2 linked regions of the Arabidopsis thaliana genome follow. The protein of the gene in region 1 interacts with the protein of each later gene in a pairwise test. Each region holds a gene or a part of one and is shown on either strand. Other genes may lie near its edges. The genes, in order: IDH1 and AT3G05250.

Evidence for each region.
Region 2: the proteins of IDH1 (region 1) and AT3G05250 interact in a two-hybrid assay, tested with the Arabidopsis thaliana proteins (one large-scale study listed by BioGRID).

Annotation. Positions count from the first base shown.
Region 1 is NC_003075.7:16,773,326-16,778,191, forward strand, and holds IDH1 (isocitrate dehydrogenase 1), read right to left. Parts: upstream 3,047-4,866; 5' UTR 2,909-3,046; coding exon 2,399-2,908; intron 2,279-2,398; coding exon 2,039-2,278; intron 1,623-2,038; coding exon 1,544-1,622; intron 1,444-1,543; coding exon 1,169-1,443; 3' UTR 817-1,168; downstream 1-816. Other genes in the region: AT4G35270 (Plant regulator RWP-RK family protein), read right to left, coding at 4,332-4,866. UniProt on the Arabidopsis thaliana protein: Performs an essential role in the oxidative function of the citric acid cycle.
Region 2 is NC_003074.8:1,493,541-1,498,279, reverse strand, and holds AT3G05250 (RING/U-box superfamily protein), read right to left. Parts: upstream 2,709-4,739; 5' UTR 2,646-2,708; coding exon 2,528-2,645; intron 2,242-2,527; coding exon 2,147-2,241; exon of another isoform or gene 2,074-2,146; coding exon of another isoform or gene 2,068-2,073; coding exon 1,988-2,067; intron 1,897-1,987; coding exon 1,841-1,896; intron 1,635-1,840; coding exon 1,522-1,634; intron 1,399-1,521; coding exon 1,337-1,398; intron 1,206-1,336; coding exon 893-1,205; 3' UTR 757-892; downstream 1-756. Other genes in the region: AT3G05260 (NAD(P)-binding Rossmann-fold superfamily protein), read left to right, coding at 1-25, 113-471, 593-615; MEF19 (mitochondrial editing factor 19), read left to right, coding at 2,899-4,596.

The sequences.
Region 1 (4,866 bases):
AGTTGATGTGCGTTTGGCCACGTCAGCTGGTGTTTTGACATTGGATTGGCTTGCATTTGCTGCCACGGAATAAATATTATTAAGAAAAAGGAAACTTTATATCGGTTTCTATAATAATACTTACGGGCCGGGCTTGGGCTCAAATTTTCTAATTCTGATCGGGTATAGTTTTAGCTGGATTTTCAAAATATTTGCAATGTTTGTTGAGAAGATATATTATACTAATAAACTATTTTCAGTTATGGGCTGCAATACAAAAGTTTCAAGCCTCATCCAAAACTCTACCAAGAGGCAAGAGGTGTCAAAGTTTAAAAGTCATTTTCGAACTTGCCGGGTACCAAATGTGACATCCCAAATCCGATGAAACAATTTCAAGTGATTTTAAAATTAGTCAATGTTAATTCACAAATTAAATTAAAGACTTGGAGTAAGAGCAACCCCAATGGTTGAGCCCTTAAAAGGGTTTTTTAAAATTTTAAATTATAAAAAATTAAAGTGTTTTTGTTGGACCATTAATTTTTTTTGGTCTAATGTTTAAGTGGGTCTTTTAAAAAAATATATTATTATTAAAATAAAAATTATTTATATTTTATTTTATAAAACTTAATAAATAATACAAATATTAAAATTTTAAACAAATATGATATATATATTAAAAATCATATGGACTAAAAAAGAGAGAAAAACGCGAAAAGAAAAATAAATAAATGATGTTGTCACAATGTTCAACCACACACACAATGACACGTTAGAGTTTCTTAACTACTCAAAAACCTCTTAAAATAAAGTTTTATATTTAAAAACATCCATCAAAAATTAACCAATGTGGATGCTCTTAAGAAACCACCATTCGAGGTGATCAAAGATACCATCAATTTTTCATTCATATTCTTGAAATTACGAATCCATAAAAGTTTGCATATTCCACGAACAAGTGTTTAAGAAACTTTGACATGACAAAAGGCGCCAACAAACGTAGCAACATGAATTATTTGGAACATGTTTTTTTTTCTTATCGAAATATTCCACGGCTAAAGAATATAATAAAACTCGAGGTACAAAACCAGATAACCGTTGTGCTTGGATCATACCCCATATTTTGGCAACACAAAATCTGTATCAGGAATTTGATGATTTATGCAGAGCGGGAACACGTAATTTGTCAAAGTCAGTCTAGTTTTGCAATGACCGCATCAACGACCTCTTGAGTCGTGCTTGTTCCACCAAGATCTTTCGTCCGGCACTTTCCTTCAGCGATGACTTTCTTCACTGCTGTTTCGAGCCGGTCAGCAAATGAAGGAAACTGAAGGTGTCTAAGCATCATCGCTGATGAGAGAAGCAATGCCACTGGGTTTGCTTTGTTTTCCAATACTATCTTGTCTTTCCCAACATTTCCTGCTGATGCACCTTGCTCGAATACCGCATGGTCAGCCCCAACATTTCCTGTTTTTGTATTTAATGTCGCAGATGTATAAATTTTAGAACTATTCTTTATCCACTAATGTATAGCTCGAGAGAATATCAATACAGGATGTTTTTTTACCTCCAGGCATGACTCCTGTGCCTCCAGCAATACCAGCAGCAGTGTTTGCAACTAAATTCCCATAGAGATTCGGCGTTACCTGCAAAACATTTCATAAATTGCTGTTATAAAAGGGGGGAAAAGCCAAAAGACGCTACTACATACAGTAATGAAAGGTTAATACTTAGCAACAGTGAAGTTACTGCTCTAACGAACAATAGTGTATGCAAAGTAGTAAGTATACATAGACAAGGTCACAGAAGTACAATTTAAAAGATTCCCTGAAAGCATGATATGCAAATGACGAGATTAAATAGTATGCAAATGGGGCGATTAACTATAGTATATGGCAACACAACATCAGTCTCATACCAATAAGATAATATGACTCTAAAACAGGCAATCTAGAGGGATACCAAACTAGGGAGAGATGACTGGTATCTTTTTCTCAAAGTAAAACATCGAAGACTTAAAGAACGTCATGAAAATTCATATGTATATAACTCTGAAACATACCATGACATCGAATTGCTCTGGTTTGGCTACAAGTTGCATACAGCAGTTATCAACAATGATTTCATTGTAGGTGATGCTGGGATACTTTTTCGCAACCTCGCGACAAGATTCCAAGAACAAACCATCCGCAAGTTTCATGATGTTAGCCTTATGCACCGCTGTAACTTTCTTCCTGTTGTTCAGGTAGGCATACTCAAAAGCATACTTTGCAATACGCTCCGAACAGAACTTCGTGATCACCTAAGCATAGAAATAGGATCAGAACAATCACACATAACATACAAAGACCACTTGCAAACGAAGATGATTCCACAAATACAGATTGAATCCAAAACGAGGAGCAGAAATCGGAATTCTCACCTTCAGACTCTCAACGACACCAGGAACAACCTCGTGCTCAAGCCCCGCGTACTCACCTTCAGTGTTCTCTCTGATGACAACGATGTCAACATTCTCATGGCGAGTAGGTAAACCAGGCAAATTAAAACAGTTGACCAGAGAAGCAAAGAGGTCAAGCTCTTTCCTAAGCTGGACGTTAAGAGAACTAACACCACCACCAACAGGAGTCTTAAGCCCACCTTTCAAACAAACCTTATTCTTCCTTATCGACTCCATCACTTCCGGCGGCACACGGCTCATTTCTCCGTGAACATCGTACTTCTCGAAGAAGATCGGAGCGTGCATCGCTTCCATCACCTGTTCCACGGCGTTCGTCACCAGAGGACCGATTCCATCTCCGGGGATCAGCGTCACTGCGCGTGGTGCTCCGTCACCGGGTCTGGGCATGTAAGTCACGGATCGGGTTTGAATACCTGATCCATTCGCGTTTCTAGCTAGATTCTTGAGGAGAGTTAGCGATCTGCGAGACATTTTTGTCTTCAATTTTGGGTTGAATCTGAAAAGATTTGATCGAAAGAGAAGAAGAAGATTCGCCCTTTGGCTTTTGGGAGCTGGAGGCGGACGAAAAGCGTTTATTGTTAAAATTTAGTTATTTACACAATTCGCCCCAAAATCTTCATCTCATTAAGATATTTCCATAAAACAATAGATAATCACCGATTAGACCACTTTGTTTCAGAATCGTCAATTAAGATATTTATACAAATCCCCCCAATCATTTAACTTCATCAACATTTACTCAGTAATTAATTTAGTTTGACATTTGCTTATTTTTCACTTCAGATATTTACAAAATTGCCGCAAAATCATTGATCATGCAGAGTACTACATTATTTGCAAAATCATAACTTGCACCCTCGAATTTCATCAAGGCTTTGGTGAAAGAAGTCTTAGAAACACGGAGATTGGCAATGTTAAGAGATTCGAAGCATAGTCACGTGAATCAACTCCTTCGTCATCCTGATTTTTAGTACCAAATGGTACAATCAGGTACACTTGGTCTGATTCTCTTGACATAGGTTTTTTGTTTTCCATGTTGTTTTCTCCTGTCTCTGAAGTTTAGGTGGCAATGATAGGTTCAGGATCAATATCTTCCTTTGTGTCACTCACTGAATCAGAAAGAAACAAAAACAAACCAAAACGAGAACCTTTTGTCTGCAGGCTTACTTGTTTCTTTAACAAATACTGATTTGAGGATTTAACAGAGATACTCTGGTTAGGAACTTGGAAGATCACTCCACTAGGTGGTTCTCTCTCTTGAACACATATTCCTGCTTAAAAACCAAGAGAATCTCTATAAATATCATGTGTCCTCACCATCCAAGTATACACTTTCTTCTCTACTTTTTCTGCCAAAAATAGCTTCTGTGTTTATATGACTATCATTGCCTATATAAGTAAAACGTCTAGCCTTTTCTTACTTTCAAACTGGCATAATGTTTTTTCTTGTTTCTTTCTGAATACTAACTCCTTATTGACTGTAATGTTTGTACACAGTAAGCTTTGATGCCCCAAAAAGCACCCTTAAGAATTTCATGCATAGTTAAGTAAGAAAATAAATACAAGTGACGATGTAGAAGATATATCAATTTAACATACTTGCAGAGCTTAGTAGAATCCAGAAGACAAATGATGTACAGACAATAATAATACATACATATAAGCATGTTTCTCTGGTACGCATCGCCTTATTATACAAAAAATCTGCTAAGCCGATGCAGGAAACCAGTCCACTACTGCTGCTTGCAAAATGGGGGCACTGAAAATATGTTTACAAACGATGCCCATTGCTATAAAATGGTGAGTAATATTTTTCTAACACACTAGTAAATTAGTCGAATCTCCTGCTCTTTTCTTTTCTTTTCTTGCAGGTAACAACCTTATACCTGATAGCTTATAACGAGGGACCAAGACCGATGCTACCAAAAGAACCTCCCAGCTTGACTTGAGAAGCTTCATGAACACTTATCTTGATCGTGCGGCTCTGTGATGATCTATAAATGTCGATACATTCCTCGAGATCCGCTTCACATGTCAGAAGAACCCATTCCTTGTCATCATCCAGGTACTTAAGATCAAAGGGTGCAATATTATCTATGTTAAAACGCCTAGCAATCTCATGCTGCAACTCTCTGAAGCCCCAAGTAGGAAGCAAAGTAAACCGTACTTTGGCTTCACCAAATGTGGCTTTCACTTTTGAGGCCCCTCCAGCTTTCAACTTCCTGCTACTATTCTCCGGTAACCGAGGTGGATTTTCGAAAAGAGGATGCTCACTGAATGTTTTGTGGCTCAGGGTTCTAGAGAGGGACTTTGTTTCATCCTGATTCATGGTATGAAGTCTCACTTCGCTACGAGCTCTCTTCAAGATCGCGCTAGCATTTTCAGCCATCAGAGTGGTTACAGTATTTGAGGTAGTCCCAGTATTGGTA
Region 2 (4,739 bases), on another chromosome or scaffold:
TCTTCTCGCAGTTTTTCTTGGTTAAGTGAGTAAAAAAAAAAAACTGAAACTCGAACTTAGGTTCTGAAACTAATTGATCCGGTTAGAGTTAATTGGTCGTAATTTATTGTAGATATGCGTTAAAGCACATGAAGGAAGGGAGCAGCATCATCAATACGACGTCGGTTGTTGCATACGCAGGAAACTCAAGCTTACTAGAGTACACAGCTACGAAAGGAGCCATCGTTTCTTTCACACGTGGGTTAGCTCTTCAGCTTGCACCAAAGGGCATTCGTGTGAACGGTGTCGCTCCTGGTCCGGTCTGGACTCCACTGATACCCGCATCGTTCTCTGAAGAAGCGATCAAACAGTTTGGGTCAGAGACACCGATGAAAAGAGCGGCTCAGCCTGTGGAAGTGGCTCCTTCCTACGTTTTCTTGGCTTGTAACCATTGCTCATCTTACTACACCGGCCAAATCCTCCATCCAAACGGTAAGTTCTAATTTGACGTGGTTAGACCGGATTGGGCATTCCATCAGAGTCCTCTGTTTCTTTGGTTTAACAAATTGATCTCTGTTTTCGTCTATTATAACACAAACGTGTTTTTGTGCAGGTGGTCTTATCGTGAACGCTTGAGCTTGCAATAAGTGCTTATGTACATGACTCTGTTTAGGAAGTTCTTACAAAGAGAGTATATCCAGTAGTATAGTCGTGTGATGTAATAAGGTGATATGTTGTTTTGTCGTTTTTTTAAAAGAAGAATAATATGAAGAAAACAAAAGAGAACAGAATAAAATGGTATGGTTGGTTTCGTTAGCATTACACAAAGTAAAACAAACAAATCGAAACTGGTATATCATTAATCGAAGTTATGAGTTTCTTTATATGGTACAGAAGTGATAAGTGTTTTGTCTCAGTCTGAGTCTTCCTCGAAGATAAACAAATAAGGAGTCACTCGTGTTCTTACATTATGTTCTTCCACTTCTTCTCTTTCTTCACTAGCTGCACCGATCTCTCTTCGGTTGTTCCCCTCTAAACCCTGCTTATAGATTGCATCATAAGCCTCCAAGTTTAGTCCCGCGGCCAGAAAGAGTTCAAGTTCATCCACAAATCGGTCTGTTCTCGCCATTACAAATGGACGTGCTGCTTCTGAGACAACTGCTTTGAATTGTTCTTGATTTGTTGTCTCTGCGCTTCTTGTTTCTTGTTTGCGTCTCTGTTTGATTCTGAATATGAGAGAAATAGAGACTATTCATGAGCAAAACATCAAACTTCTACTTTGACCAGTTAAAACTCTAGCCAATCAAAATATATACCCACGAGTTCTAAGTTTTTACATTCTCCTTAAAACAATTACCTTTTGCAGAAGGATTCCATCACACCGACCAAATGATGCAGAACAATATCAACATCTTCCTCCTATAGACAAGGGAAAAAATTGAAGCAAACAAAGAACAAAATCATCTTTGCGAACAACTGAACAAGAAGATAACAGCAAAAAGGCAGAAATATCCATGAAAGGGATTTTGTACAGAAGCAAACCTGCATCAGAGCTTGAAGCTCCCTCCTCAACCAGGCTTCAAGGCACCGGTTCGGCTGGAGAAACTTTTGCAGCTTCCAAAACCGTGCAACATCGAATACATCGGCGAGGAAACCTGGTTAAGACCACAAAGAGACCGAGAAAGAGAAGGGAATTCTTGTAAAACTTTCATTCTTGATTGATAAACACATTTGAATCTACTTTCTATCAGTTTATTATTCCAAACTAAATCGAGTAACGGATTCCCAACTATTGTAATGGTATTGAATATTATGCGCAAGTGTGTTTTGATCTCAAAGTAAGTGCAGAGAAGGGAAAAACCTGATTCGGTGTAGTAACACTGCAACCTGTATCTCTGTTCTTTTGTTAATACAAAACTGAAAACAAGAAGATGAAAGTAGAGTAAGATATCACGAAATTCTCAGAACACATATATATTCAAATCAAGGAAACCACAAGCTAACCTACCCATCTGGAATATTCGGGTCGATATAATGCCGCTCAAAAGAACATCCATCGTAGTTGTGGATGATGGATAAATTCTCTGTCTGCATAAGTTATGGTCATTCCTGTAAACAAGTTCTTCAAGGTGTTGTGAGCAGAAAAGAGCGTTTCCAAGAAGCAGACCTTACAGAGAGGACATGTCACTGAGGAACGTTGCTTAGAGGCCTTGCTTGAAACAACTTTGATCCATTGTTTTATACAATTGAAACAAAACTTGTCTGCAACAAAACATAAAATCAAAACAAACATATATGTTCTAATCAGTTCATGGACGAAGGTCTCAGTCATTACCTTAACCATAAACCTACTATGGTCTATCTAAGATACACAAGAGCTAATCAATCTAATCTCTTTTTGGAATTAACTAATCAATCTGATTAAATTGTTCACAGAAAAAAAAGATTGAATCTTTGAATACACACTCAAAACTTCAAATTCTAGATGAAATCAAGAAGCATCTAACCACAAGTTTTAACAGAAAACTGAAAAAGAGAAGAAGCGTACGGAAACAGGTATCAAGGTAGGATTCACGGAGGAATTGTCCAAGGCAAATAGGACATGGATCAAAATCGGATCCATCGTCAATAGAACCGCTCCCGCCGGCGATCTCCTTCGCCGCCATACCAACTCACTGACTCAGGTCTCTCTCCGCTTGGCGCTGATTCAGCGTTACGGCGTCGTTGTGACTAAACACAGGTTATATTTTTCTTTTGTTGAAACTTTCAAAATAATCCTTAAACTCTTTCAACATTCAAAATAAACCCAAACTATTTTAAATTACCAAAATTTACCCGTCACTTTGATGAGTTTTTGTTTGTTATGGTTCCAGAATTAAAAAAAAACATTGCCTTTGAATTTCATGATAATCAAAGAATATGATGAAGAAGCACTACAAACCAATTCTCTCTCAGCTAGAGAATTGCAGATCATTGGTGGAACTGAATCAACTCCATGGTTTAATGATCAAATCCTCAGTTATCAGAAACGTCATTCCTCTAAGCCGACTCATAGATTTCTGCACTACTTGTCCTGAGACTATGAATCTCAGCTACGCGAGATCAGTTTTCGAAAGTATCGATTGTCCAAGTGTTTATATATGGAACTCTATGATCAGAGGCTACTCAAACAGTCCAAATCCAGATAAAGCATTGATCTTTTACCAAGAAATGCTTCGAAAAGGTTATTCTCCGGATTATTTCACTTTTCCTTATGTTCTTAAGGCTTGTTCTGGGTTAAGGGATATTCAATTCGGGAGTTGTGTTCATGGGTTTGTTGTGAAAACTGGGTTTGAAGTGAATATGTATGTTTCTACTTGCTTGCTTCATATGTATATGTGTTGTGGAGAAGTGAATTATGGTTTGAGAGTTTTTGAGGATATTCCTCAGTGGAACGTTGTTGCTTGGGGAAGTTTGATTTCTGGTTTTGTGAATAACAATCGGTTTAGTGACGCTATTGAGGCGTTTAGGGAGATGCAGAGTAATGGTGTGAAGGCAAATGAGACAATAATGGTGGATCTTTTGGTTGCTTGTGGTAGATGTAAAGACATTGTGACTGGGAAATGGTTTCATGGGTTTCTTCAAGGATTAGGCTTTGATCCATATTTTCAGTCCAAAGTTGGATTCAATGTGATTTTGGCTACAAGTCTCATTGATATGTATGCTAAATGTGGAGATCTGAGAACTGCGAGGTATCTGTTCGATGGAATGCCTGAGAGAACCTTGGTTTCTTGGAACTCCATCATTACAGGGTATAGTCAGAACGGTGATGCAGAGGAAGCACTGTGTATGTTTTTGGATATGCTTGATTTGGGTATAGCTCCTGATAAAGTAACCTTTTTGAGTGTTATCAGAGCTTCCATGATCCAAGGATGTTCACAATTGGGACAATCGATTCACGCTTATGTATCGAAAACCGGCTTTGTGAAGGATGCTGCCATAGTTTGTGCACTTGTAAATATGTATGCTAAAACCGGTGATGCTGAGAGCGCAAAAAAAGCGTTTGAAGATCTGGAGAAGAAAGATACAATAGCTTGGACCGTTGTGATCATTGGGTTAGCCAGTCACGGCCACGGGAATGAAGCATTGAGTATATTCCAGAGGATGCAAGAGAAAGGTAATGCTACACCTGATGGAATCACATATCTCGGGGTCTTATATGCGTGTAGCCACATAGGTTTAGTTGAGGAAGGACAGAGATACTTTGCAGAAATGAGAGATCTTCACGGCTTAGAACCAACAGTTGAACACTATGGATGTATGGTTGATATCTTGAGCCGTGCTGGTCGTTTTGAAGAGGCAGAGAGATTGGTAAAGACTATGCCGGTAAAACCCAATGTTAATATATGGGGTGCATTGTTAAATGGTTGTGATATACATGAAAATCTCGAGCTCACTGATCGGATAAGATCCATGGTTGCTGAGCCAGAAGAACTTGGTAGCGGAATCTATGTTCTTCTATCTAATATATACGCCAAAGCTGGCCGATGGGCTGATGTTAAGCTAATTAGAGAATCCATGAAGAGCAAAAGGGTAGATAAAGTTTTAGGTCATAGTTCTGTTGAAACAATGTTCTAATTCAGGGTCCTACTTGACCTCGTTATAAACCTTATTTTAAATTAAGAGGTCGTGATTTTCACCTCATTAACAACTAATTAAGATCACTAAAAAGAATAGTTTTGTTTGATTCTAAGAGAACAATAGTACTTTTGAATTAGTTT